4 linked regions of the Lytechinus pictus genome follow. Each later gene encodes a partner of the first gene's protein in a complex. Links are inferred from orthologs where the notes say so. Each region holds a gene or a part of one and is shown in the gene's direction. Other genes may lie near its edges. The genes, in order: 116 kDa U5 small nuclear ribonucleoprotein component-like; SNW domain-containing protein 1-like; RNA-binding motif protein, X-linked 2-like; serine/arginine repetitive matrix protein 1-like.

The links.
Region 2: 116 kDa U5 small nuclear ribonucleoprotein component-like (region 1) and SNW domain-containing protein 1-like share a complex: the UniProt entries of both Homo sapiens proteins name them as parts of the minor spliceosome. The link is inferred for Lytechinus pictus from reciprocal best matches to the Homo sapiens genes EFTUD2 and SNW1.
Region 3: 116 kDa U5 small nuclear ribonucleoprotein component-like (region 1) and RNA-binding motif protein, X-linked 2-like share a complex: the UniProt entries of both Homo sapiens proteins name them as parts of the minor spliceosome. The link is inferred for Lytechinus pictus from reciprocal best matches to the Homo sapiens genes EFTUD2 and RBMX2.
Region 4: 116 kDa U5 small nuclear ribonucleoprotein component-like (region 1) and serine/arginine repetitive matrix protein 1-like share a complex: the UniProt entries of both Homo sapiens proteins name them as parts of the minor spliceosome. The link is inferred for Lytechinus pictus from reciprocal best matches to the Homo sapiens genes EFTUD2 and SRRM1.

Annotation. Positions count from the first base shown.
Region 1 is NC_087257.1:27,317,436-27,325,298, reverse strand, and holds the start of 116 kDa U5 small nuclear ribonucleoprotein component-like, read left to right. Parts: upstream 1-4,845; 5' UTR 4,846-5,167; intron 5,168-7,863. UniProt on the Homo sapiens protein: Required for pre-mRNA splicing as component of the spliceosome, including pre-catalytic, catalytic and post-catalytic spliceosomal complexes. Component of the U5 snRNP and the U4/U6-U5 tri-snRNP complex, a building block of the spliceosome.
Region 2 is NC_087251.1:28,641,477-28,648,834, forward strand, and holds the start of SNW domain-containing protein 1-like, read left to right. Parts: upstream 1-4,338; 5' UTR 4,339-4,605; coding exon 4,606-4,622; intron 4,623-6,170; coding exon 6,171-6,231; intron 6,232-6,612; coding exon 6,613-6,690; intron 6,691-7,358. UniProt on the Homo sapiens protein: Involved in pre-mRNA splicing as component of the spliceosome. As a component of the minor spliceosome, involved in the splicing of U12-type introns in pre-mRNAs.
Region 3 is NC_087260.1:9,504,964-9,512,802, forward strand, and holds the start of RNA-binding motif protein, X-linked 2-like, read left to right. Parts: upstream 1-4,818; 5' UTR 4,819-4,929; coding exon 4,930-4,934; intron 4,935-7,839. UniProt on the Homo sapiens protein: Involved in pre-mRNA splicing as component of the activated spliceosome. As a component of the minor spliceosome, involved in the splicing of U12-type introns in pre-mRNAs.
Region 4 is NC_087248.1:16,740,563-16,748,403, reverse strand, and holds the start of serine/arginine repetitive matrix protein 1-like, read left to right. Parts: upstream 1-4,828; 5' UTR 4,829-4,840; coding exon 4,841-4,987; intron 4,988-5,574; coding exon 5,575-5,697; intron 5,698-7,484; exon of another isoform or gene 7,485-7,534; intron 7,535-7,841. UniProt on the Homo sapiens protein: Part of pre- and post-splicing multiprotein mRNP complexes. As a component of the minor spliceosome, involved in the splicing of U12-type introns in pre-mRNAs. Involved in numerous pre-mRNA processing events.

The DNA of each region.
Region 1 (7,863 bases):
ATGCGTAGGCTCGTGACTCATCCTGAAGCGCTTCGAATTTGAATGATTAAAAAACTTAAGTGTCATTCAAAATTTCAAACTGAGGGCGCCAGGGGCGGAAATCTCTCCCAAAAGGTAGGGGGGACGCAGTTGTGGATCCAGCCTTCGCCAATAGGGGGGAGGGGGCGGAAAGTTGTTTCAGCCATATTTTCCCCGATCGGCAGCTCGAAGATGATTTTTGTTTGTTTCTTTGAAGGGGTAGTCCTCACTAGTGACTTCTTAGCTTTATTCTTATAAATTAATATATAATATCGCAATCCTTATTTATATGATGCGAGCGCGAAGCGCGAGCTAATTTTTTTGTGGAAATCTTATGTATTTTTTCCTAAAATTTTAATTTTCTGGGCAATGTTTATTATCCTGAAAAAGATGTGTATGCAACTAAATAATTACTACGAACGCAAAGCGCGAGCAGAAATGAACTGATGGAAAAGATACCTGTTAAAGACTGCTTGCATTTAGCATTTAACAATCTAATAATGCGAGCGCGAAGCGCGACCTGACATTTTTTTGACACATCACCTAAAGAATGGAAATTCTAAGCACTGTTTGTAACTCAAGCAGAATAGGTATATAAGAAGACAATTGATGCGAGCGCAAAGCGCGAGCGGAAAATTTCGAGATTTAGTCCTATAATATTTACTGAACGAGATACTCTATTCATGTTTTGTAAATCATGAAAAGGATTAGTATTAATAATGCGAGCGCAAAGCGCGAGCAGAAAATTTTTATATACGTTTTGAACTGGTACCTGTTGAAAAGGTACCTGTTAAGGACAGCTTGCACTTAGCCATGAAGGCGTTACATATTTCAACAATCAAAAAATGCGAGCGCGGAGCGCGAGCTTAAAATTTTTGAAATTTCTAAAGAAATAATGGAAAATTTTAATCAATTTTGTTAGTCGTGAACAAGATAGCTATATAATCTAACAATTGATGCGAGCGCGAAGCGCGAGAAAAAAAATCGAGATTTAGACCTAAAATGGGCCACTCTGTTCATGTTTTGTAAATCATGAAAAGGATGAGTAACAGGGGGTCTTCCTACATTAATAATGCGAGAACAAAGCGCGAGCAGAAAATTGTTGATATTGTGATCTGAAACTGGATAATGATTTATATATAAACATGCGCGCGCGTGTTTCATATTTAGCATGTTTAGACCTAGAATCTAGGCATTCTAAATACATCTTTAATCATGAAAATCATGAAACGTTGATATTCCGATCTGAAAAAAAAGTAAATTTCAGCTTTATTTTAAAGGAGAATGAAACCCTTGAAACCAGCTGAATCCATATCAAAGAGAAAAATCAAAGGAACACATTGTTCAAAGTTTGAGGAAGATTGAATGAATAATAAGAAAGTTATGAGCATTTGAATATTGAGATCACTAGTGCCATGTAGATCCTCCCATCGGCAATGCGACCAAGATCTGTGATATCACACACGTACAACTCCCTCATTACTTTAGTACTTATTTCACTTATATTCTCACTTTTATAGAGTCTATCACAAGGTGAGGTGTTCTCTTTATGAGATGACAAGTACAGAGGTTTCACAACATTATATCATTGATGAATCGTTTGTCATATGATTAGAATGAGCAAAAATAAATATTTTGGGGTATATTTTCAGTGTCCAAATGGGAGAGTTGTACGTGTGTGACATCACAGATCTTGGTCGCATTGCCAATGGGAGGATCTCCATAGCATTAGTGATCTCGACATTCAAATGCTCATAACTCTTTTATTGCTAGTCCTATTTTACTCAAACTTTTGTTGACCTTATTTTTTTATTTTTCTGCTTTCACAAAAGCTAACTTGCTCCAAGAGTTTCATTCTCCTTTAAGCACTTTGTAGGAAAATTGTAAGGTGGATATGGATCGCACTTAAAAAAGAGCTGATATTTTCATTATTATTACTTTGAGTTTTTACATAGGACCTGGGGGGCGTTTCATCAATATTTTCGTCCGACAAGTTGTCAGATCTGACAACTTTCCTGGATTCTGATTGGTTGAGAAGCACTGTTACTATAGTTACTGTCGGATAAAACAGGACTTGTCGGATAAAACGTCCGACAAGTCCTTTCATGAAACGCTCCCCGGGACATCCTTATGACATGTCATCATATGAAAATGATGACTATCTTCCTAAGCGCGAGATGAAACAAAAGGGACAATTTAATTATTAAATTAATATATTTATTAATGCCTAATGAGGGCGCGAAATCTGATGATATTATGGCATAAAAACTGGACATTTCACTTTTGTAAATATGAATAGGATGCATCAGTTAATATATTTTTAACCATTAATGCGAGCGCAAATCGCGAGCTAAAATTTTTGATAAACTGTCATGAAAAGGGGAATTTAAGTAGTTAGTTGTATAATCAATATTGAAACATACATAATTCGCCAATCAAAATGGCAGTATGAAACGCTAGCTGATACGTCTTGACAATCAGACCTGAAAAGGGATATTTTGAAAAAATTTGGAATACACGAAAATAATAGGTACCTGATAAATCAAAATTTGTGAGCGCGGAGCGCAAGCAGCAAAATATTCAGACCATAAAACTAAAAAAATTTACAGAGAACTTTTTAAAAATCAATTTGTAAATCACACAAAATAATGAAAGTTCGATTTCCGAGGTTTTCTGAAAATTCAGGGGGGGGGGGTCCGGGCCCCTGGATCCGCCTATGGGGACAAGGGGCTGGAAAATTTGACAAGCAAAAAAAAGGTTATCATCCCAAAAGTAAGGTCATCTCGACCCAACTCGTCCCAAAATAATGTTTTATTTCGATTAAGAATGATGTATTTCTTGCCATCATAAAAGACCAAAAATAGTAGGGGGACATTTGATATTGTGTCCCCCCTACTATTTTGAGTAGGGGGGACACGTCCCCCCTGTCCCCCCTGGGATTTCCGCCCATGGAGGGCGCAAAACAAGACAGGAGATGAATGCGCAGGGAAATGACATGAAGTTTCATCAAATTTGATAAAAACCTTGTTCTTTTTTTATTCAATACGACACGAATTTTATACCATCCTCTTATTAAATTAGAAACCTGTTTGCCCCCAAATTATGAATGTTTAGTAACTAGCTGAAAAGCGGGAGAAGTGGCCTATATGGAGGTGACGGCAGAATTTGATATAAAGATTTTACACGCCCGGAGCCCCCCCCCCCCCCCCCAGTGCGGAAATGTTGCGTGAAAGAAGAAGATAACTTCATATAATTCGGCCTAACCTTACTCTAATGCCATGCCCTAATGCATACTTGAACTTTAACTATAGGAACACACTAGTCCTATAGCCGAGGTGGAAAAACAGGGTTAGAGAAAGGGTGATGGAAACAAAGGAGAACTGCAATATTGTAATTTAACCGCGCGAAGCGCGTATGCAAAATTAATCATTATAAACTTAGAGCGAGAGTGAAGGGGTTTCGTTAAGGTCCTAATTCTTTTGAGAAAAAAAAAGAAAAAGAAAAACCCACAAAGCTACATTTCTTCCATTTCCTCCCTTCGCCTTTCCTTTTCTCCTCTTTTTTCCCCCTTTTTTTTCTTCTTCTTTTTGGGGACGTTTTGGAGGGGGGACCGCCCCCCCCCCCTGGCGCGCACCTGCAGCCTTACTCTATTCAGAATGTTGAGAATAAAATTAGGAAAATAAAAGGATAAATTAAGGGGAAATACAAAATTACAAATTGGGATTATCAAAGGAGGCGTAACGCTAGGCCTACATACATCATACCACTGTTAATTATAACCCCCCCCCCCCCGCCGAATGCTGGGGCCTCCCCTGATATTCTTTGCCGGTCGAGAGCTAATGTTTTCTAGGCCTACTTTGGTTTCTATCTTTGACTGAATATTTAAACGAAGCAAAACAATGGCTGACCGTGAACAAATTTCAACTTTACAAATATCACAATATGATCACAGCAATTTTTAAAAACTAAGATTAGAAGTTACTGAAGAGCTATATCCTCTAAAAATGAAGACATGAAGCCGACAGAATTATGGGGGGGGGGGGGGGCACAAAGCGCACCATCGCCGCTCCCCAAATTTAGGGCGGGTAGAACATAAGAGGAAAGAAGGATGGCCAAGGGGGTTGATGAAATTAAAGGTCAAGTCCACCCCAGGAAAATGCTGACTTGAATAAATAGAGAAAAATGAAACTGGCATATTGCTGAAAATTTCATCAAGATCGGATGTAAAATAAGAAAGTTATGACATATTAAAGTTTCGCTTATTTTTCACAAAACAGTGATATGCACAACTAGGTGAGTCAGTCGATGATGTCCATCTCTCACTATTTATTTTGTTTTTTATTGTTTGAATTATACAATATTTCATTTTTTATAGATTTGACAATAAGGACCAACTTGACTGAACCATATAGTATTAAACAATGCTAATTCCACATGTTCAGGGAGGAATTAATCATTGTATCACTTGACAATGAGGAGAAAATTAGAATATTTCATATTTCATAAAAATATAAAAGAAATAGTGAGTGAGTGATGTCACCTGCAGTTCCCTCATTTGCATACTAGCCAGAATGTGCATATAACTATTTTGTGAAATTAAGCGAAACTTTAAAATGTCATAACTTTCTTATTTTACATCCGATTTTGATGAAATTTTCAGTGTTATGCTTGTTGGATTTTTCTCTTTTTATTCAAATCAACTTTTTGTTGGGGTGGACTTGTCCTTTAAAGATTACACTTTCATAGCTAGACATCGAACTTGGAAGGGGGGGGGGTGGCCAGGGGAGTCTAGGTATTGTTTGATGACGTTCGATAACGCTCATTGGTAGTCTAAAAATTGAGACTTTGATAGTAGCAATGTCGCGGTAATAACGTTTTATCAGGTTGACTTGAATTCAAATACAAAATATAAGAAGTACAATTGTTTTGAGGCAAAGAAGTTTTAAATACTGGACTTTGCATATCTACGAAAACAAAATAAGATATTGGTCGTGGCTTGAAATGGAATCCACTTTAACAATTCGTTGTTGATCGATCATGCACGCGCTTATGTTTTAGACTATTATCTTCGCCGCATGTATGGTGGCGTTTCGTCAACGAAAAGCGGCAGATTCTTGTCTGGATTAAAACCGTTAAATATAGTAATAAGGTAAGTGATCTTAGCATCTTATAATGTCATGCTTATTTATTGTAGAATGTCTCGTTTATTTTTGATATTTTGATTCAAATACTCGAATGTATGGGAATAATATTCGACCTTTTTCTGGTCCACAAAGTAAAGTGTAGTCCCATAAATTTCATATTGTGTAAGTCATTCATGCAGAGACTCTCCCAGGCCAGGCATGTGTGAGGTTTCCGCGTTTTTTTTAAAATTCATTTCCGCGCTTCTTTGCTCTTTTCCGCGTTTTCTATTTTTCCTCTTTTTTTCCCTCCTATTTCTTCCGTTTTATTGTTAGCCTTGCAAAACAGACATTAAAATATATGCGTAATTTTCTGTAGAAATGTACGTAATTGAGCCTTTTTGAGGCGATATTTGTAAAAACGACTGTTGAAATAGTCTAGTCACTCTAGACTCGAGTCTAGCAAAAAAAGGTATGAGCTGGTTTTCATCGCATGTGTCGTGATGTCGATGATGTGCAATGGGACAGCGCCGTAGTAGTACCGGGACCCTAGCCCGCTAGTGTTTGCTGACGGGCCGCTCATTTTGCCTAAGTCTAACTTAGAGTTAGACAGCTGGCACTGGCAGCCTTCTGTTTCGAGGAGTTTTTTAACATTTTTTTATTTTTTGTTATTTCTCCTCGTACACAGACAGCTCGCGATCGTGCAGCCGCCATTAGGGGGTATACAATGCGAAATCTCCCTGACGGGGCTCATCGATGTTTGTCTTTATTTCATTTAAATATATAATATAAAAAGAACTGGACCAAAATAAAGATTATTATTCCATTTTGGCCTGTAATGCACCAAAACGGGAAAAAATAAACCTAAAAGGGGAAAAAACAGTGACTTACTTCGGCTGTCGCGCAACTCCCACTTCCCTGGTTTATCCGAACTTAAATAATACATAAACATATGGCCTTTTGAGTCCCCGTACAGATCGAGTTTAGAACTTTGGTCTCTGTAATTGGTGAGTGGAGCCAACAGAATTCAGTGGAACATGCAATATAACAGAGACCGAATCTTTTGGTCCAGCCTAAGTCTAACGTTATACCAAACGCTTCAGTCTCTGTATTTTGGTTGTTCTGCTGAACTGCGTTGGCTCCACTCACCAATACATAGACTGATGAATTGTTGGCCCGTACGTAAAGCCAACGTATTAGTAGTATTAGCGCGCATCTTCCTGACAAAGTCACAAAGACGAATGCATTGAAATGGAAGTCGCCAACATGCGCGATCGTTTGGAACATGTTTAAAAAGGGTTTTGAGGTGTTACTGCTTTGAAATAAACCGAGTGATTTTTATTAGAAAGATAAACGAATGACACATCTTCCGAGCAAAGTCGCAAAGGAAAATAAAATGAAAATAATTATTCATAGATCACAGGTTAATGAACGATCGGCGGGACATCTTTTATAAGTATTTTTAGGTGCTAGCGATGTAGAATTATTGGAATGATCTCTTGATCTCATACGACGCATTGTATCTTAAAGTCGCAAGTGAAATTAAAACGTAGTAGAAGTCGCAAGCACACGCGATGATTCGGAACATGTTATTAAAATGTTGTGAGGAGCTAGCGTTTTCAAATCAATTTATTACTATCTTGAGAAATGAACTTTTGATATCCAAGAAGAAATAGAAAAGAAGCATCTCCCGACGAAGTTGCAAAGACAAATAAATTGAGGTTGAAGAGAAGATAACGATGTAAGAGAGTAGCGCAGTGATGTCCGTCAATAATACAACCTTTAAAAGTTCACGGCGGCGTCCGCTATCACCACAAGGTTGAAGAGAAGATGTCTATCATAAACGATTCAAGAGAGTAGAGCAGTGATCTCCGTCAATAATGCGACCTTTAAAAGTTCACGGCGGCGTCCGCTATCACCACGAGGTTGAAGAGAAGATATCTATCCTCGTAAACATCGTCAGATAATACCACGTCTTTCTCCCTGATTAATGCGACCTCTAAATAGCTAGCACCTCAAAAAAAATCTTGAAAAATATGTTCTGAACGATCACGCACTGTATTAAAACTAGATCTACGCCGATTTTTTATATACGATTTTTTCCTTCAAGGGGCATGATCGAAGATCGGAAGGTGATCGCCGATTGTGGTAAAATCTGATAAAATCGGGAGCAGATTAAAAAATTGGTTACAGCCTTACTTTCAGACCTTGTAAGTAAGTAGATCTAGCTAGGCCTATTTCATCTAGATCTAATGTTAGGCTCAATAACTACAGAACTGTAGGCCCCTATTATTTTTTTGTACAGTTTACCAACTCAAAAAGTATGTAGAAATGTCATCAAAAGTATGCTTCAAATTGCACCATTTGTCATACGAAATTCAAAAAGCGTCACGCAGGGCCACACCCATCCCCTGCTTGGTCGCTCCGCCTCCGCTACCTTGGGCCTCAATTGTTGCAGCAAAATATTTTCCTCCACATATTTTTCTACCCCACATGCCTGCAGAGACGACAGACGAGAGATAGAGGGCTGGGCGATCGCGAGCAAGTGCAAGGGAAGGGAAACTTTTTTTATACCCGGTAATTAAGTATTTATTAAGAATATAACAACATGATCAACACAAAATTCAACTTAAATCAAGAAAATTACGACCATAAATAGTAATGAACATATTTACATGTCATAAAGAATATGACTTTCATACATGTATGAATGTTCAAATTCAAA
Region 2 (7,358 bases), on another chromosome or scaffold:
ATCAAAATTTTTAGCTCGCGCTTCGCGCTCGCATAATTTATTAAGGAAGATACCCATCCTATTCATAGTTAAGTGCATAAAAATGTATCGTTTTAGGTCTAAATTTTTAGAAAATTTCAGCTCGCGCTTTGCGCTCGCAATTATTATTTTTTATATAATTTTAGTGTAAATTGTTAGGCAAGTGTAATTAAAAGTGAAGACTTTTTGGAGGTGGGGCTTGTCAAATTTTTGTAAACAAAATGTCCCCCTTGAAAATCCTGGATCTGCCCCTGGGTTGGATATAGATGAGTACTGTTCGTCGGACGTCAGTAATCGGTACTGATATCTGTCGGGTAAAGGCCTAGCTATACCCCTGCTTACACATTCCTCTGGTTATTACTGTCCCCCTATCTATCCTATGTACCTGATCCCTTCGTCCGCCTATCTATCTTTTCCAATTTCAATTCCCTCAACCTTCTGACATTCCTGCCAGTGAGTGAGTGATTTTCCCCATATCTAGTGATATATCATGTTACTGTCGCATATATTTTCACGTTCATATTTATTTTTTCATGAGTGGATGGATGCGTTTATTTTTGTTTTAATTGTGTATATGGAAATAAAACAAATGCAAATCAATACATGAATACAACTGATTTCAATGTCAAATACCTCTTTTATAACGTCTCCAAATGAGCAGAATTGGGAACATAATGTAAACACCTTCAAAGAGTAATAAAGGAAGTATTTTGATATAAACATTGCAATTACCACTTGATTAGAAATATATCGATCACGATCCAATACATTTCATTTCTGGAATGATATACAGAAATAATAATAATTTCGACAATAAAGTGCAATCGCCCGATAGCAAATATCAGTAGTAGCAAGATCCCAACTGTTTTATTGGGCATCCCCTGGGTAACCTTTCCCACATTCAGTGCCACTTCCAGACCTACACATCCAAACGTGTATGGAGGGGGGGGGGGGTTGCAAAATGCAGGGCAACCGAGGACTACGAGGTGCCCAAAAATCCTCGTGTATTGGTAATTTGATGACCGAATTTATAATTTCTGCAAGTTCCATATCATGTACAAAGGCTAAATAATAATTGGGAAAAAATGTTCGCTCGCTTCGCTCGCTCGAAAATTAAAAACTGTGAATTTGATATTTGGGCAATGATTATCAGCCCCCCTTGAAAACTGTGCCTATACGTCCATGCCTACTACCCCCCGCCTTGCTTATTTTTGTCGCTTGTCCCCCCCCCCCCCTGACGAAATATGCCAGGTACGCCACTGTCAGTAAGTCATAGGACGATAGTTCTCCAAATCGTCATCTGAACATATTTTATTGACAGGTATACTATTAACAACCATCATACTATCAGGGACAATGATACACTGAAGAGATAAATTTTATTTATATGCGTCAAGGGATCCATAATTTCACGAATACGACAAGATCACAGTGACATAATGAGAGGGGGGATATGGGTACGACATGTGTGTGAAAAATATTTCTTATAAGTCCTGAGTGAGAAAGTAGAGCAACTGAAGCAGAAAAATTACCTTTTTGGAATGAAAATCTAATTTTGTAATAGATTTTTACATAATATTCAGAAAACAACATCGTATCTTACCCCTTTTCCTTTCCTTTTTTTTTCTTGGTGGTGGAACTTTTGGGAGCCATGACCCAAGCCCCCCCCCCCCCCCCCCCATATCTGCGTCAGTAGAATTTCATGACCCAGGTCCCCCTTTCACAGTTTCAGTAACACGTGTTTATCGTTTTGTTTTGGGGTTTTTTACAATTGGCACACCTGAAGTAAAAAAGATTCACAAAAACTTTACATTGGTAATATATTCTGTTTTCCCCAGCATTAGGAAAATGCCCTGAACAGAGTATGATAAACCTATTACATGTCTACATAGGAAGTAAATAAAAGAGCATACCGAGAGACCCTATGTATGGGATTTTTCAACATAATCATAATGTGCAAAATAATACAAGAGTACTCATATTTTCGTTAGAATAACAATCATTCAAAATTCATATAGGCCTATATATTTGGAAAGCGATTTTCAAAACAAATCATCAAATAAATCTGAGCCGCCCTTTTGAAATATCAACATTATAATTAAAACATGATTAATTACTGTAAAATGACAGATGAACAAAACTTTGGACGAGAAAACCAAAACATTTTTTTTTCTTCAGTGATCTTGTATTGTGGTGTGAAAGAACTGTCCAGTGGTATAGTATATGAGTTACACTGGAGTTGGGGTTTTCCAAAGGTAACTTTATTTTCGTATCAAAAGGAAAAATAAAGGGGTATAAGCTATCCCTTAACATTGCTTGCCCCATTCAATCTTTTCATATGCGATTCAGCACCGTACTTATGGGATTAAATATTTTCTTTATCACTCCTCTTAATTTGTTGTTTCACCTTTCTTTTTTTTGGTCACATCGAAAATAACAGAAACTCTTGAACACCATTCTAGTGGGCATACTAGCAGTCCCTTTCACCTTTTTTTTGGCGGGGGGGTGCAGTGGGGGGGCTAATGTTAAAAGAAAAATGAATAAAAAATAGAATTGCGATATGATTGTTTATTGGTGTGGATGCAAAAAAATATTTGGTACATGATTCATATGGATAACATTTGAAGGTACAACTTCAAAATATAAAGGTGAATGAGAGAGGGAGGGAGAGAGAGAGAGAGGGAGAGGGAGAGAGAGAAAGAGAGTGGGAGAATGAATCGGGGGAAAGGGGTCAGAAAGAGAAAACCAAGAAGGAGAAATTTGGGTGTCATTGATTTCGTATGAGCCAAATCCCGACTGCTCGATCTCCAAGAGGAAAAAAAACAAGAAAATAATGATCTGCTTAATACATCGGAACGGCATGTCTAAGCGCTTTACAGATATATTATTACCCCGGTCATCGGATTTAATCAGTCATTCCCGCACACAATGTGTGTATATATTGACCCCAAACAGGGACATTTTAAGGACTATAATTTAGGAATCCATTAAGAGTATATATATGTATCTCACCATCATCTAATGCGAGTGCCAAGCGCTTGCTGATTTTGTTAGAATAATATACATCTTAACACATGAAGCACTTGTAGTCATTGTCATGATTAACATACGCATCTTACTAATCAAATATTGCGAGCGCGAGCTGAAAATTTGGGAAATTCAGACCTGAAGAGAGGCATTTTAAGGCTTGTTTGTAGGAATTCACGAGGAAATACGTACGTATTTCACTAACCAAATGATGCAAGCGCGAAGCGCGAGCTGAAAATATATTGACCCCAAACAGGGATATAATTATATTAAGGACTATTTTTTTAAAGGAATCCATTAAGAGTACACATATCTCACCATAGTCATCTAATTCAAGTGCCAAGCGCATGCTGATTTTGTTAGAATTACATCTAAACACATGAAGCACTTTTTATAGTCATTGTAATCATGATTATCATACGCATCTCACTAATCAAATATTGCGAGCGCGATGCGCGAGCTGAAAATTAAGGAAATTCAGATCTGAAAAGGGGCATTCTAAGGCCTGCTTGTAGGAATTCACGGAGACCATGCGTATTTCACTAACCAAATGATGCGAGCGCGAAACGCAGGCTGAAAATTTTTGATATTCAGATCAGAAAAAAGGACATTTTAAGGACTGATTTTAGGAATTCATGAAAAACAGACATATCTCACCAATCCACGAATGCTAACGTAAGCACGGACAGGAAATGGTTTAGATTAAGACCTTAAAATGGGGGCAATCACTTTAAGTAGCCATGAAAAAGAAGCATAATATGTCACTACTTAAAACAAGAATTCGACGTGCGAGGAAATATATTTGTTGTATATTGATTTGAAAACGGGAGGTTTTAGTACAACAGGATTATATATCTTGTTCAACAGACAATGCGAGCACCAAGAACAATGAAGACATAGGCCCTGCGCAAATTATGTTTCATAAAGTTATGATTTTTTAAATGTAATATAATATAACATAATTATAATATAATATAACTTTATAATTAACAATAATTCCTTCTTTCCCCACTACTTTTCTCTCCCTTTCTCCCTCTTTTTCTCCTTTCCCCGTTTTTTTTTTGGCCAGCCGATTGTGGGGGGGGGGGGGGGGTACGTGCCCCCCATGCCCCCCCCCCCGTAGTTACGCCACTGGTGGCAACTGGCAAGTATGAATTAACGCCTATTTTTTTTTTTTTTTTTTTTTTAATATGTACCGGTATATGTGATCGGAATATATATATATTTTTTTAAACAAGTGCACACCTAGTTACCAATAATGCATATAGCATTTCCATTTTTATTTGAAAGCAGGATAAAAGAGCATTGTAGATTAAATGCCTTGCTCACGGGCATAGGCGCCGCGGCCGGGGATCGAACCCCGGACTTTCCATGTATAGCCTGGCGCCTAGACCACTCGGCCACGGCTGTTGTGATCGGAAATTGGCACGTCTCCCTCTAGCGTTAGAAGACATGCATTAAAAGCCTATGGCGTAGCGAGCTTTCTGAGGAGATTCGACGACAGCCGATAGTTTGCCCAGAGATTTCTGCATTGTATCCAAGACTTTCGTCAAATTTACTATGGTGTCACTTGCTGAGTGAGTAGATTATTTACAAAATTTATTTCATGATTGGGTTATTGGTATTTTTTACAGTAAAATCAATTGCTAGACGGACGTGAGACTAAGTAAGAGTGGCGAGTGTGAACGGTGATTGTGAATACACAGGGGGCCGGTGCCGTTACTGGCGTGTGTAATTTCTTATGCACACATTTCCAGTGGCGATATCACAATTCTGTGACACAGTAATGCTCATTGCACAAGAGTTACATGTAAAACCCAGGGTAGAGCTCAATATTTGTGTGAGACTTAGTGAGTGGAATCTAACAGTGACTGAGTGTGGTGATGGCAATGTGTGTGATAGCAGACAGGGATTCGTCTGCCGGAATACACTTTTTGATTGTGGACTTGTGTCTTGTGTGGGCATTAACTAGTCTATCCACTTGCACGCTGCAACCATCCTGCCTGTGCCTGTGGGAAATCTACAGGTAGGAGTCGGACCAGTGTTTCCTAAGCTCCAAAATAAAATTCCCGAAACTGAATCCCAAATTTCCTGAAATTCATAGATATTTCCTAGAATTTTCAAATTTGATTTTAAACAAAATCGGGCAATACAGCGAGCCTAATAATTGGTCCGGGTGGCCAAAATCAAGGAATTTAGCATTTTTTGTTAACGCCCTCTTTAAAAATAGGAATAAAATTACCAAATGCGAGTGCAGAGCGCAAGCAGAAAATTTTGAGCTATGTATGGAGGTAAAAAATTCTGGCCTGAATATTAATAGTTGCTAGGTAACCAAAACCCAAGAAGAGAAGCAATCTTATTGGAAATTTAGGTAAAATGAGATGAACAATTACAAAAAAAAGTTTCATCAAAATCGGTTATGAAATAAGCAAGTTATGGACATTTAAAAAGTCTTGTACTTTCTATAGGGATCCTCAAATTGGCAAATGTGCTTCAAAATGTCTGAATTTGTGGACAACTCTCCATTTGTTTTGTACACAAATTTTCAGATTTTCCCCTTTATTTTACATTTTTCACATCTCCTGACCTTGACATATGTGGTGTGAATTTTATTTTCCCAAGACATATGTCGTGCTCAGAAGGAAGCAAGCTGCAATTTGAAAGATAATGAGGAAAATCTGAAAATTTGTGTACAAACAAATGGAGAGTTGTTCACAAATTCAGCCATTTTGAAGCATGTTTGCCAATTTCATAGTAGTTTTTAGAGTCAGCACTGCTGCTATATTGAATTGCGTAATGCAGGTGAGACTGCCAGAGGCGCTCCACTTGTTGACCATTTTTCATCATCTCTATATTCAAGTTCCCTTTGGAAGAATGTTGCAAAGTTTGAGCGTACAAAATCATTTTCTCACGCGTATGATGCGCGTTGGGTAAAACAAGGCCGGTCGGTAATACAATCACTCACTATACCATGTGATGTGACAATTGTTAGGGTTGCGTTGACAAGTCAGACACATTTCTGGGATTTTAACAAATGTTGCTGCAAGCTTCTCCTGCTTCATCTTTCCTTGTTCTTTTCTATCAAATACTAGCAATTGACTAAAAAAATTATACTTTTTCCACAGCATCCTACCTAAACCCAAGCAATGGGGGCAAGAAGATGAGGTAGACCTGAGAGCCAAAGAGGTAAGCAAATGAACATTCCTACACGTATTTCATTTTAAATAATTACAATAGTACTAATAAGGCCTGTTCATAAACATTTTGTGACAAAGCTCAGCAACCCTTTGTACGATGTCAATGGGGTAGGAGTTAAAAAAAGAATGTTGCAATAACATAGTGACCTGTTTTTGAATGTGTTGCTTGCAACCGCTAAGAGACAGACAAATAGTGAAAATTGAAAAAAGTTAAGATATGATGATTTACGCTGTTTGACAGACTTACTCATGATATCATTAAATATAATGCTGGAATGTGACTTTTATGAACCCATTCTCTTAAGTTTAATAATAGGATGTTGTATTAAATTAATAAATTTGCACTATAATGTTCCTCTTTCTTTTTCAGTTACGTGTGGTTTCTGTATCAAGGAATGCAGCTCCACCGTATGGTCATCGGAAAGGATGGGTGCCTCGGTCATTGGCTGTAAGTACATTAATATATATATACCCTCCCCCTAAAAAAAAAGAGACCCAAACAAACAAATATGCAGCAAAGTTGAGAAGGTACATGTAGTTAGTCATTCATTCTGATTTCAATGAATGTACTGTAAAAAAAATTACAGATAAATATTGAAAGTGAGGGATACTTCAAGTGGGAAACTTAAAGTGGCGTAGAAAATATATTTTTTGTTGTGACATACCTCTGTTTTAGAAATGTGGAAAATTGCCATCGTAATTAATCAAGTGATATACAGATTTCATTTTGTACCACAGAACTATCATTTTCATTGCATCACTGCCTACAGCCCTTGCAGTATAAAGTTGTCCTGAGGACAAGGTCATTTTTTATAAAACATCTTACAACCACTGTCTGTAAAGGGGAAATTTGAGGAAAACGAGACAGTTAAGGTGGACTGGACATCCAAGGCAGTGGCATCATATCATTGGTTTAACACAAGCCCTCTGTCACCTACATGTGCATGTGGCAACTTTCATTCACATGTTGATATAGATGGCAATATTGCAACTTTACATCCATGACTTTAACATGGAGGATCTAGCTTCCGAGATAAAAATTCCAACTGTTACCATGGCTTGAATGAATCAGTATAAATGAATGAATGAATTAACTTTATTGATCCTCCTTGAAAA
Region 3 (7,839 bases), on another chromosome or scaffold:
ATTATTATATTTTCAATCATTGTTTCATAAAAATATATAAATGTAAAATCTATATTACAGTCAGTCTGCAAGCCCCTGCCTTAATGAGCAAGATATATCCAAGTCCTCTCGTGGCTGAATTCATGTCCCTGCAAAATCTCGTGAATTGTGAAACTTTGTTTCTCAAAGAATTTAACCACTTTCTCCTTGAGTAAAATTGGTTATTTTTGTACCATATGAAAGAGTAAACGTTACTCTTTTATACTGAGCATTTCTTTTGAATAAAATATTTTGATAAATGAGTGAATTTTAGGCATGAAAAGATGCCTCAAAAGGAATTTTCTTCCTCTTTTTTCTCTTGCAAATTGTGCAAAATTTTGTGTTTTAGGCACAAATATTATTTATATCATCAGAAAGCTCAAACTCTATACTTTCTTACAATGTCACTATTGATATATGGCACCTTTTAGATGGGTCAGCAGCCAGCTTTTTCCACCGAAATGCAAGACGAGATTTCTGAAATTTCTGAGTAGCATAAAATCTAGAGTTCTGATTGGTTGAATGGGAACATTGGAATTTGCGTGGGTGTGTGGTCTCTATGACCAAACAAAGCATGGTATTCTTGATTTTAAACTGCTAAATGTACTTGGCCTATTAAAAGCTGGCTGCTGACCCATCTAAGATACCTCTTCTTATGAAAATTATATCATATTAAAGCTTAGATCTTGAGCTTTATCATAATCTAAAAATTATTTGGGCCCAACGAGAAATTAAGTGTTAAAACAACAAGTTTTTTTGCATTAAAATAATTATTTTGTTTCATGTTTTAGAACAAAAGTTTCACCTATGTTATAAAATCTTTTTAAAAATCCAGACACATGACATGAAAGAATGATATTTCTTTATAAAGATACCAAAAACATGAAATTTGGTCAATATTTAGAGCAGCAATGCCCGAATAAAAAGAGGTGTTTTCGTCCGCACCAAGCTCATTAACAATGCAAAAACCCTCTAGTCATGAATATCACTTGGATAAAAGAAGCTACTTTTTGAGGGCTTGCCGACTGACTGATTACATTTTCTATCATGATATGTCACCACTGAACAATAAAGTGTAATCTGAAATGTTTGTGTTGGGAAGTAACTAGCGCAAATATGAAATGTTTTTGTCAAGTTATTACTTTTAATTTGTCTAAAATATGAAGATTTTTTTGGGGAAAATGACACCTAAATATTTTTTTCAGCTCCTGGTGACAAATCAATGTGATGAAGGGGCATATATGACATACTCATGAATTTGATATCAAATTCGTCATGATAGCAAAAATATTTGATAAGATACAGTAAATTTTATGACGTTTGACAAATGTCAGCTTTTCTTTAAATTTCCTTGGTGTATGTAAACTTCTGGCCTTAACTGTAGGTACCATTGTATAATTATGAACCTTTTGCAGTGAGAATCACTGACAGGCAGTTTAGAGTATTTATATCATGAGCAGTTTGTCTCTTTCTCATGTAATCTAATACCACATTGAGCTAAACCCTTTCGCACGTATTCTGAAGTCGGGTTTAATTTAAACTCTGGTTTTTAGTTGTGGTTTAACTATGGAAAGCCAGTTGTTATATAAATCTACAACAAGTAGAGGTTCAATGTATCAGCTCATTTGACTCCCAAAACATTAACTGCCTGGGAAAGATAAGTATGACAGTCGTCTTCACCAATAAAGAATTAGTTAAGAGCACAGTAAACATGAGAAGCATTCACTCTAAAAACAAAATTTTGAAACGTTTGGCTTCCCATAGTTTTAGCACAGAGTTAGACCATGGTCTTTGTTAAACCCGACTTCAGAATACGGGCCTTTGGGTCATATTCTGATAGCCATGGTTTAAACTTGGGTTAACTAAGACCACATTTTCAGCTATTAAAGTATTTTCGTTTATAACAAAGGACAAGAGTTATTCTTTCAAATTTTGATGTTTTTAGGTACATTTTGTGTCATCAATTACATGATTAACAATTGTATCCCTGGGTGACGGTCAAATGTAATTTCAGATCAATCGACTCTGATAAAAAAAAAGTTATGTTCGTCATCTTAAAAGTGTTTCATCTAACTAAATGAAACGTGAAATGTGTGAAATGGTTATTGGATATCACAAATGATATTAAATCAATGTGTTTACCAGTGAAGGTCAAATGTCATTTGAGGTCATTGAACTTTGGGGTTTATTATCAATTTATATACTTTCTTACAAGACATTTGAGAGGTTGCAACACTAGGTCACCAGACATGGTCATATGACATTTTCTCTAACTTGTATGCATTCCTTTTACTTTGCTGATCAACACATTCTTTGTCATGTTGAAATAAAGAACCTTCAAAATCACCTGCAGTCAAAATTTTTATCTGTTTAATCTCTTTGAGGCAAGTAATCATTTATGTCCTTTTGTGTTCATTGAAATGTCCCTTTGCCTTGGTGTATCAAGAATATGAAGTTACATCAATTTATGTAGTATGATTTTCTTTTTTACCATATGGCCTTGAATAATATTTTGTTATTTATGACACTTATTAAACTGATAATTCTGAAGAAAAATATTGATGTGCTGTTTCTTTTATGTTTTATTGTTATGTTGAACATTTAATAGTCTATATACATGAATAGCCTTTCTGTGAAAGATGTGAACAAACAAATGAATCATTGTGCCACTCTTTATTTGAAAAAAAAAATCAAGCCATTTCCTTTCACTTCATTTCAGTTTATCTTTATTTATGAAAGACTACAAAATATTGCATACATAAATATAGGCAACCTAAACCCAAGAAAGAATCTAGCTTATTTGAAAGAATAGAGTAAGAGAAACCAAAAAATAATTTAAAAATCGCTTATAAAATAAGAGAGTTATGGAAGCTTAAAGAGTCTTGCAAACACTATTCATAAGCTTGCTTACATTTGCAAAATATATCTGATATCTCCTGACCATGACATATGGTAGGAATTGTATTTTCCCATATTATGTTGCGCTCAAAATAAAGCAAGATGTGGTTTGTAAGGTAATTTTGAAAATTTGTGTAAAAAGCGAAATTAGTCATTATTTAGCATGTTGCCAATATGAGGACACCCATTGAATTTACATCAAGACTTTACACACTTACATAACTCTTATTTTGTAACTTTGATAAAACAAAGCTTTTTTTATTGCTCTCATATTACTCTTCAAATGTTTCCTTTGGTTTTGGTTTTCTGTAAACAAATTTAGACACGTTGGACCCCTTCAGCTCTACCTGGGGAAAGGGAAATAAGGTTCCAAATAATTAACCTGTTGCCAATTTGCTTTGTTTTTTCTTCATTTTTTTTCCAGTTGCCATTTGAGGGTCATCTGAGGGGGGGGGGGGTACTTCCATTGAAGAGGACGATAGCAACAGCAATAAAAACTTAACAAACCACACACAGAGAAAGTTGTGATTTTGGGGGGGATAAGCACTGTCATAATCCAAATCAGGAAAAGGGTGTGCAATTTCGTGAATGTTATGATTTTGAAACATTAATAAATACCCCAGCCTTCATATCTTTCCTCCTTTATCCTCACCATCATAAATGACAAATAGTAGGTAAAATCACCTTTCAACTCTACAAAATAATGGTTTTATACACTGCAAAAATTCCGGTGTTGATTTAACACCAGCCAGGAATCTAAATATGTCCACATCAGAGAAATATTTAGATAACACCGGTTTGGAATCAAGCCGATGCTCTTTTAATACTAATTGGTGTTGTAAACACATATCTGGTGTTAGACCAAAACTTAACTGGTGTTGTTTAACACTTCTCTGGTGTTGACATATATTGATTCCGGGCTGGTGTTAAATCAACACCAGAGTTTTTGCAGTGTAGCAGGCCCTACAAATTTTAGCCAAAACAAATTGCCTGCTCCCAGAAACAGACACCAAAATCAGAAAAAGGACCACCAAATAAAATAGTTGTGGACAAAATATGTGATTGGGGGGTGGCGGTCATTTAGGATTTTAATTGGCCCGGCACACTTTTTGGGGGACCCGAGACCAAAAAATATTGTCATTTCATATTGAGATACATTAAAAGGAATTTAAAGAACTGTTCCCTTATCAAAATAACAAAAAAAAAATATATATATATTTGACCCATGACCATGTACAGCCCACTCCTACTAATATTTAAGACGGGCATAATTTGATTTAGCATCCTCAACAACAACACAATACATATTTAATTCTCGAGAGAGAATATAGATATTTTGATAGTAGTGAGAATAAGAAAAGGTATTGGTGAAAAAAAATATCAAAAGAGAGTGTGGGAGAGAGGAGTATAAAATGGCGGTATGATGGACCTGACATTTTTGTTTGAAAAAAAAAGTTACTATTATTTCTATTTCTAATGTCAATCTGCAAATCTATAATCAACTGAAATCGCTTGTGCTAGAAAGATTGAAAAGTGCCAACAATAACTGAGGAAAATAATCAGCATTTTCTTCATTTCAAAATATGCTTACATCATTTCACTTAGAATAAAACATAAAAAATGTTTATATTGTTAATCATATCACTGAAACTAGCTAACAAAGAAGAAAAAAATACACTTTATTCACAGCAGTTGCAGTATAAACTAGACTCGATTGTTATGTCTTCCGGAACGAAGTTTAGTTTGCCGAAAATTAATCAGAATCGAGATGATGATTGATTGCATTTGAGCACGTCGGGCATATATAGGCCGAGGATCGAACCCGAGACTTGCCATGAACAATAGACCACTCTGTCGTCCACGGCACCCCTATGCATCTTGAGAGCACCGTCAATACAGGCCCGTGTTGTTGCCCTCTACGTTGGTTGGTCTTATGCATGCAGGGCTGCCTCTTTATGCTATGTCTGTTTGTTAATTTATGTACCGGTACGTGCGGAAATCCCCGCGGAGATCATGAAGTAAGTTGATGAAATCTTGAATTTAGGGTATGAACAGTGTAAATGATGATATCAGCAATATTAACACTCAATCTGTTGTCTCTTTTTCAGCTGCGTTATAATTCTCACTCGACTAGTAATAAACTAATATATGTTGTCCCACTCGCTCAATTTTATGTCATGTCTTTGACTTTGTAGGGTCGGGATCACTCTTTTATTGCGAGGTTAATAGTATAACCTCGCACCATGAACCGCGTTTGGCAGTGTATTTCTAACTAGTGGGTCACGCGTGCTGGGATCCCACTTCTGGTGTCCACAACACCCGACTTCTATGGCTTGATATTTCTGTGCGCGGCGGCATGTACAGTGCAGTGGCAGTGGTAACCCACGACCTAGTACCAATTGAATGAGGTCCAAACATCATGAACTAAGCTTGTAACCGATTTTGCAATCGGCAACCGATTCCATTCGATTTCACCACAATCGGCGATCACTTGCCGATTTTCGATCATGCCCATCAAAGAAAAAAATCGAATGTAAAAAATCGAATTGTTGAAAATTGGCGGAGCCGCGGAGCTCAGTTGCATTTTGCCCTTACGCATCGCCAGCTGCTGTCTGTGCGTACTATGCCGCTCTAGCTCTAGCAGCACGTCGCACTAGCACTGCCGTGACCGGTAGCAAAGACACTACAGCTTGAGTTAGTTGAGGGTACACGTTCGCCCGCTCTATTGAGCTCTAGCAGCAGACATAAGCGCAAGCCACGGATGAATAAAAATAATGGCGGCACGCGACTTGGTACATAATCAACCAAGGAGCTGAAGCTCTTTTGATCGAACAGATCTAGTCATAATCTCCTTGATCCTTACCAAAATATATTCCTCGATCGCGATCATTTCATTTCTCGGGTTCTTTTCACATTTTCCCCCATGACCATATCCCCGGCCAGCCTTTCACTCCTTTTCATGTATGCATCGTTTCGGTGGCCGTGGTGGGGGATCGGGGGGGGGGGGGGTAGACTTGTGAAGCTTTGCCTAGCGTGATAATGAGATTGTCTTTTTATGTTCATATTTTTTGTGTCTTTTTATTATGAATTCCTCATAATATTTTGATTTACTGATATTGTACATGAAATAATAAAATCATGTTCAACTTACAGGTATCTAGAATAGGCCTATAGGACCTTTTATGCATGTATGTTTGCGTTTTTTTTACAATTCTGTTTATAGATATTTCTTGAAGATTTTTTTTCTGTATTTCTCCCCTTGTGAATATAAATTGTCAAAAAAGATGTCCATATATTGACTCTTTAGTGTTAAAATGTTAAAAGGTTAATTTATAAATGTAGAACCAATAACCAATATGTTAATAATTTCATACAATATAGGCATATGATATACATGTACATTGTTTTCACAATTCATGTTATATGATGATGAAGAAATGAAGTATAATTTAAAAAAAAACGAATACTTCTGAAGTCTGAATCCCTTTTCAGACTTCAGGTGAACGTAGATGAAAAAAAAAACCTTTTCCATTTTGTTTATTCTTCTTAGGTTCTTAGAGGGTGGAAGAAATTCAAATATGACACTTTCTATTTTCCATTGGACAGAACCTCGGCCTATATTTTTTTTCTCTTTATTGTATAATGATGTATCTGGTAAAATCTGAACCCTCTGGCTGATCTTTGTTTGTGGAAAATAGGAAAAGAACGTTGGAAAATGAGAAGCATATATTATAATCGTATTCTTCATATTTGTAATTCTATATTGCATATTTCCTTTTATCTTTATTTCCATTCAGTGATTTTGATTTTTGTTTGTTTTGCTTCGTTGACAAATATATAGAAAGTGAAGGTTTTCACAGAATGCCCTCCTATCGAAATGATTTTTACCCCAATAATCTTGCAGCTGTTACTTTGGTCATATACTCATGATTTCTTTAATAATAAATAAAAAAAGTGAACATCAAAATTTATGTCTCGTGCTAGTATTTCTCACTCGTCCCTTTCATTTGTTTTATTCTCTCTTTCATTTTATGCTCTGATCGCTTGTTTCTATCATTGAATGGTTTGTTAAAAACAGCAACATGTTTGATGTATTTTTTTTAATTAAGGGCGTAAAGCACTGAAGAATGGAGAGAAAAACCTGTTTAATAAGGGTCTTTATCAAGTCCTTTCTTTGGGTTTTCACAAAATGAACTCCAAACGGACTGATTAGAAAAAAAATCTTCCCTCTCTTCAAGAAATAACCAAATCAAAAGCTATAATAATTTTATGATATGGACATTGCCATTGGACTGGTTTGGTGCCGTTGATGGACCAAGAAAGGCGGCAGATGTTTTCCGTCCAGCTTGTTTCCCCTTCTCTCCTGTTCAATCGACCGAGAGACGGAAGTGTGATGACATTGCATCCCAGCAAAAGGGAACCCGTTTTTCAGAACCTAGATTCACAATCATCAAATAAATTTTGATCGAACTATATTTGACAACGAAATGAGAGTAAATCCTTATTTTGAAAACTTTCAGCAAATTATGCTTGCATGGCAGAATTCAAGAAGTATTATGTAATTCTAAATCTCCTCTCATTTGGAAATAAAGAGCCCAAATAAAGTGTTACTATAGTAACTACTAACGAACCAAGAGTATTTTACAATCATAATAGGCATCGCTATCTCGTTTGCCTATAATACAAATTCCCTATTATTCTTGAGAGTAAAATAAAATTACATCACTCTTTAGGTCGTCCCATGTTGTCTTGTCCCTGTAAAAAATACTCCGCGATAGCAAAAAACAACCAGTCGTCTCTACTGGAAAACTCTGACAACGCGATTTCTTTTTTCTGAGACGCACTGTAAGCATATATGTACGTGGTATGTGTGTGTGTGGTTTAGGATGTTTTCGTTTCAGCCTACCAGCTGATAAGACATGT
Region 4 (7,841 bases), on another chromosome or scaffold:
ACAGCTCCAGTAGATTTTTTACAAATCAAAACCAGGGAGATTGAATTATCATTGAATAAAAAGTTACAACTCGCAATGCACGCCAATCAATTAAATCATGAAGTTAAGTTGGAATCAACACCAACCAATGGAGATTGAAATTTTACAAGATATAAAGAAAAGGGGTCAATTTACCAGGAATTAGCAGAATGGGGGGGGGGTAGACTTTTTTGACTAGCAAAATACAACAATAAAAAATGGTAACCATTCTCGGAAACACTTGGAATTTTCTGACAATCATGCACAAAGTGATTGAATGGTTGCGGGCAGGACTGGGGTGGGAATATGCCCCCCCCTCCACCTTGCTCCCCAACCAGCGCCTCATTACAAACATTTAATAGTTTTTAAGAATCAACTGGAATCATACGAAAAAGGGAGATTCAAGCATTAACTTAAAATGGCAAACCATTAAAAAACTTACGATCGGACATATTCTCACTCTTTGACGCCCCCCCCATCTCATCTCGCCTTCAGGGGAATACATTAGAGTGAATCAAGTTGATCTGTAATTGATACACTCGGTAAAATGCATTGTACATCACATGCAAATCACATACACGTGCCAGATTCTCTCAGCCCAGACACCATGCTCAGACTTAAACATCAACAATGGAAATTTCCATGACTGGTCAAGAGCCACGTGTTGCATGTTATTCAGACTCACATGTACATTGACTCCACGAAAATGCACACACTCGTGATGCACACAAAATCCAGACACATTTCATCATAATTTTTCTGTCTGTCTCTCTCATCTTCTCTCAAATCCCGTGGGCTCTGCACGTAAGTATTGTCTCCGTCGCTCTCTCTCTCTCCCTTTCTCTCCAAGGAGCGTTGCTCCTGACTCTCTCATATCTCCGACGTGACATGCATTTGACCTAAACGCACCCGTACGGGTGCGTAAAGCGAACTTTTGATGTATATTCATGAGCCGTGGCGCGTGATAAACATGGCGCGCTGACGTCATAAGCAACATTCGCGGAGACTCCTCCGGAGATTCCTGAAAAAGACATGATCGCGTACCGTGGATGACCACATTTTGAGAGGCTTTTGGGCTCTAATCGGCGGAAAAAATGTCAATTTTCGTTCGCTTATAATTTTGCTGTGAAATGGATTTACCACATCAAATTTAGCAGTTGGTAAGAGTGAAATTTTCTCTTTCAATTGAATACAGTCATAACACGTAATTCAAACCCGATCCGAAGATATAAATTAGGTCCGGACACCCTATTATTATCATTATTCCGTTTTGGCCTGAAATGCACCAAAACGGGGAAAAAATAAACTTAAAAGGTAAAAAAACAGTGACTTACTTCGGCTGTTACGCAACTATCACTTCCCTGGCCTGGTTTATCTCACATGTATTGCGAGGTTAGTATAGTAAGTATTTGAACCGCGTTTGGCAGTGGATTTCTAACTAAAAGTTAGTGCCTTAGTGGGTCGCGCGTTCTGTGTGTCCACAACACACGACTTCTATGGCTTGATTTTTCTGTGCGCGGCGGCACGTAATGAACCCTTGAGTGGGTTTATCTGAATGGCCATTGAGTCCTTGTACAGATCAAGTTAGAACTTCGGTCTCTGTAATTGGTGAGTGGAGCCAACGGAGTTCAGCGGAACAACCATATAACAGAAACCGAAGCTTTTGGTCTATATTTCGGCTTGAATATGATGTCACCGTTCGAATTTTCAGTCAGACATCGCTTCATTGGAGTTGGATTCACCGATAATTTGATATGGACCGAGGTTAGCCACCAAATTCATGCAAACATGCGGCAAACAAACACAACGAGCTGCTGCAAAGCAGGCAGATCTACTTTAGTTTTGGTCGCTAATTTCAGTCCATATCACACTTCGGCGAAGCCAAGCATTGCCAAGGCCCAAGCGATGTCTGAATTATGAGAATTGGACAATGACCTCGCCTCATGATACAACTGAAATAAAGCTGCTCCCGATCGCGATATTTGGAAAAGCCGTGGGTATATTGACCTTGAAATGTGATTGAGAGTCTTGCTATGACATTTACAAACAATTACTGTTGGGGAAATTCTCTGGAAATAGGCTGGTGCGATACTGCATTCGCGCCATATTTGGTTTATATCTGTATATTGGTCGTATACAGTAATTACCTTACACTTTTCGTAATTTCTCTTTTTTTCAGTCATGTCAAAACTTCACATATGAAAAATAGTAATACGTTGTTTTTTTGGTTACGAAATACGATCCTATCTATCGGCTTCCAACCGCAAAAATTAAAAGATCACACTTGGATATGTGCTTTCTAACAAGTTGAAAAAAGTTAGAAATAAACAAAGTTATTGCTGCTGATCAGCATTTTGAAAATAATTTTTAGCCCTTTTTATCGTTACATACAACTAGATTTAGAGGATGTTAAAAGTGTGAAATTATTTTCTGGCGTGTAAATGCGGGCGTTCATTATTACAGTTGCTCACAATATGACATTTATATAGAAATATGTTGCTGTGAGTACGAATTTATAGATCAATATTTCTCCCTTGTTTTTTTGTGGAGCCTGACGTTCGAAAAACCAAATAACTGCAATATCCCCAGAACTATCTGCAAAAAGGGAAGAAATGCTATAGTATATCCTCCCTAAAAACTTTCTACTCACAGCAAATACATGTATAATGCTCGATGATGCTTACAAGTCCATTTACAAATGCTGTACACAGGGCTCCACACTAACCCATTTTTTCTACTGGTCCAACCTATTCATGTCGGACCAGTAGATACCCAGTTTTTCAATCTTTTACTGGTCCGAACCTAAAATCTACTGGTCCCCCAAAATAAAGAAAACATAAAAAAGTCCTTTCTTGTTACCCCCTCCCCCAAAAAATGAAGGAATGAAAGACAAAATGAAAGCAAGACAGAAAGAAAGAAAGAATAAAAGAAAGGAAGGAAGAAAAAAGAAAAGGTAAAGAAAGGATAGATGTGAAGGAAGGAAAAAAAAAAGAACTAAAGAAGGAAAGGAAGGAAGGAAGTTAAGAAAGAACAAAAGAAAAGAGAAATAAAGGAATGAAGGAAAGAAATGAAGCAAGCAATAAAGAAAGAAAGAACAAAAGACAGAAAGTAGTGAAGGAGAGAAAGAAGCTATAAAAAAAGGGTAATAGGAGAGATGGAAAGAAGGAAAAAAGAAAGAAAGAGAGGAAGGAAGGATGAAAGAAGGAAGAAAGGAATAAGGAAGAAATAACAAAAAGGTAAAATGATAGATAAAAAGAAAGAAATAAATACAGAAGGAAAGGAAGGAAGCAAGCAAGCAATATAAAAAAAGAAAAGGTAAAAGAATAGATGAAAGTAAGAAAAAAAGAAAGACTGAGAGACGAAGACAGGAAGGAATGAAAGAAAGGAGAGAAAGGAAGCAAGCAGTAAAAAAAAAAAAAGGTAAAAGGATAGATTGAACGAAGGGAAAAAGGAAAGAACAAAAGACAGAAAGAAGAAAGGAAGGACTTAATGAAAGAAAGAGAGAAAGGGCTGAAAGAAGGAAGAAATAAGAAACAAGAAAGGGTAAAGAAAGGATGGATGGAAGGAAGAAAGTAACAAAGAATGAAGGAAAGAAAGGGTAAAAAGAAGGAAGGAAAGAAAGGAAGGAAGAAGAGAAGAGATAAATATAGGATGGACGGACTCAAGAATTAAAGAAAGAAATCAAAAAGAAGAAAGAAAGAGAAAAAGAAATAGAGAAAAATATTTTTTTAAAGGATAGAAAGAATGAAAGAACGACTTAAAGAAAAAAAGGGAAATTAAAAAAGAAAGACAGAAAAAAAATGAAAGAGAGGGAAGAAACAAAGAAAGATTGAAAAGAAAGATGGAAAGAAAGAAAGACAACAGAGGAAGAAAGCTTAAACTATTATCATAAATAAATTATCAGTTTCGTTTTGGCTCAATTAAAATATAGCTACGAGAGAAAGTCAGAAACCAAGTGTATCAACACACACACAAATGCATGTGGGCTATCATGTATTCAGACGATATCACTCGAAACCCGATCTGTTTGAACTAAAACAGAAGTGAAAATTTCTCCTTTTACTGCTTACAAATGACAGAGTTACCCCAATTTTTAGGAAATATGGACATTATATAAATAAGAGCCTTTCATGAGTGTGAACTGTGAATTTTGACAGTCCTGTGAGAGATTTCTGCCAGAGGTTAGCCAAGCTTCGTATGTGCAGCCAGTAGAGAATTTACCATGTGGGTTGTGTGGCTGGCTACATGTACACTGTATGGTAACATATTAACACTTACATGCGATTCATTTTGTGTGTATTCTGTGTGTGAATGACAGAAATTAACGGGAGGAAAATGGTTTGCAATTTGAGTCATGGAATATTTTTTTATGTTAATGTTGGACCAGTGAATTTGACCATTTCTGGAAAAAGTTACTGGTCCAACAATGGTTTTTATTACTGGTCATGTCGGACTCATAAATCTTGCTATTTTGGAAAAATTACTGGCCCGGCAATGATATTTTTTTACTGGTCATGTCGGACCAGTACATCTTGCTATTTCTGAAAATCTACTGGCCCGACAGCGATATTTACCGGTCGGGGACCGTCGAACCGGCGCAAGTTGCGCCCTGCTGTACAGCACCATTAAAATTGTGTTCGGGATACTTCATGAGAAGTCAACGAGCGGCATATATGGTTTTTTTTCACTTTAACGCTTACATCCAAGGTATTATCAGTTCTTTGCTCCACATGGCTTCTGGTGGGGCTCGGTGTAGGTGAGCTCTAAATCAGTAAAAGTGCCGGTTGACATTGGTTATCAGTTTAACATTGAGAATCAGTTCATGATGTCTGGTACACAAGTAACCTTATTTTTCTCTACATTCTCCAATTTCTTACAGGGCACCAGTGCCGACCAAGACAATCGCTTCACAAATAAGAAAAAGAAGCTGTTGAGATCGCTCAAGTTCAACCCTATTATGGAGAGGAAGGTATGTTCTGAAGTATTATTCACCTACATGTATTAAGCTGGGGGGGTTATAAAGAGGCAAGATTTTATGCAACTGGGAAGAAGCCACCTCTTGGCTTGGTGTGTCTATGGGGTGTTGCAAGAAACCTGCGATCAATTGTAAGTCTATTTTTGACGCTACATCAATTACTTGGCTTGTAGTTAATTGCAAATTAGTGATTGATTGCTAATCTACTCCTTGAAACAAGTAGTTTAATCCGATTTGCTACAGCTAACGTTGATCTATCAGTTGTAAAATTGCAACAGAATATTTGCAATTGACCGCAAATATTTTCTTGCAACACCCCCATCCGCAAAGTATACAGTTATTGCTCTGTTCATCCTGCTGTCTCTATGAACCAGATTTGGGAATTCATTCCAACCAAGACTTGTAATCTTTAGAAATGTAAACTTATAAAATATCAAGTATCTAGTAGTAGTGACGGGAAAATGAAAAGACTGGTTGTTTGAGAGGTGTTTGCCAATCACTTGATCTCTGACTCCGACCATTTGCAATGGGCTGTCCCTATTCCCTTTATTTCATCAATTCTGTTGTTCAATTTTCTCTAGGTGAGCATGAGTAAGGTCAACTTGGATACACTAAAACCATGGATTACAACGAAAGTCACCGAGATGCTTGGAGTGGAAGATGATGTCCTCATTGAGTTCATCTTTAACCAATTGGAAGAAGAAGTAAGATGTCGCCTTTTCTTTGTCTAGATTGTATATAGTCAACTCTGTGTTAAGGTTAAATTGATTGATGTTTTAATCATTGTACTGGTCAATATTTTGTGGTCATTATTTCATAGGTCAAGTGTATAGTAGCCATGGTGAGAACTCATTAGGTTTTGTCATTGGTATAGGTCATCTTGTGCAGGTATTTATAGATTGCTTTCTATGCTTTTCGATAAGACACATTTTTATTTTAAGTTGAACTACATTTAAGTATGCTGTTCACAACAAAAGAGTAGTGATGTTTGTGGTATCTTTAATAATGTGCGACTGCATGGCCTAAGGTAGCTAATAATAGGTAAGCAAAAAAAGACGAGGCAGAGCAAATGGGATCTTATTCAGGTAGGAGGAATAATGCACATCCAGGTGGGTGTTTCACAAAGATTTAAGTATGACTTAAGTCGCACTTAAATGCCGACGCGTACATGATATGCAACGGGCGATCTTTTTGATAGATACACAGTAGTGCGCTTCCTAATGACACGATCTGACCAATGCGGTCAAGCCTTTCATACCGTACGCAACTGGGTGTTTAAGGGCGACTCTAAGTCATACTTAAATCTTTGTGAAACACCCCCAGGAAACATAACATAAAGCAAAGCGATTGGACGTGGAGCTGATTTAATTTACTGACTCACCAGACTCTAGACTCAATGCTATCAATTGTAGACAGCAGCCCTGTGATCAGTTGCTATAAAGCTTTATGTTACCGGGCCCAGCAAAGGAACCTACTTCTTGCGTGAAGTGTCCAGTGGAATCCTCTCCGACCCCCTCCTCCAACATAGTGATGGTTAATTATTGTTAGACAGGACAAGCTTTTAAAACTGATGCTGATTACAGGTAAGTATTCAGTTTTGAATTCAAGAACCTTTTGAGGAGATTATATATAGAAGTCTTGATTGGTAGGTAAAGGCTTTTGAGTTCTTGAGCAGTTGAGCTACATGTACACAGATTTACTATGTATGTAGCACTTTTGGCAAGACCCGATTGTCATGCAATGTTTTGCACTGATAACGGGAAATATTAGTGCTTCTTATTGAGTATCTTTGTTTTAATCCTACTCAAGTATGATTTTAGATCATTTTGCCAACCAAAATGATGAATTAGTTTAATGCTGGCCCACAAAATTTACTCTATGAAAAAAAAGACGAAGTCAATTAGCCCGTTGGCAGTTAAATGAGCCGTCACATGAACTTTTCCCTTTTACATGCAGTTTGTAGTGGTAGGTAATGATGAGATGCCACTGGAGAAATATTCAACAAAAGGTAATCTGAAGAAAAAAAATAGTTTGTCTTGTATTAGTATGTAGTATGTTATTTTTCTATGATTTTGTGCTATTATAACACACTGACCATTAAAAATCAGAATTAAGAATGTTGCTAGATGAATCTTATAATGTACCTATTATGTACAAAGAGATTCATTTACTTCATGGACCAGGCGATTGAGACAAGTAAGTAATACATAACTTTAATGTTTTCATCAATTTTTGAGTTCTTACCATGCTACTATACTTAATACGTTATGAGCTGATCAGATTATCTATGTGACGACAATAAAATTTAAGAAATTTGGAAATTGTGACCCCCCACCGAATAAAAGAAAGAAAAATAATTGTTTTGAAGAAAATATAATATTCTGATTCATGATTAATTGTGTGTGATTTGCTCATAACTCAATGGAAGTTTCCCCCCTTTTATATGTTTTCACATTTAAATTTTATTGACATTTTGATGATTTTATTTCAGGATTTAGTTTCATTCCCTCAGACTGCAAGAGACGGTAGAGTACATTAATAGTATGTCCAATATCAGCAAAACAGTATGGCCATCTGTAATGAAATAAAATCATTTATGAATATAGAGCTTTACACAGAATTTGGTCTTAGCATTTCGTCACAGAATGGCTATAGTCTTCTTGTATTTTCTTGCCAAAACAAGGAGTATTTACATAACAGGTCAATTCAGTTGGGGTTAAAATGTGTTTGAAATTAAATTAAATAAATATTTCCGTAACATCTGCTCACATTTTGAAATGGATTCATGATAATTAACAATTTAATGAAGCACCCAAGCTTCCTTCTTCCTTTATAACAAAACACTTTT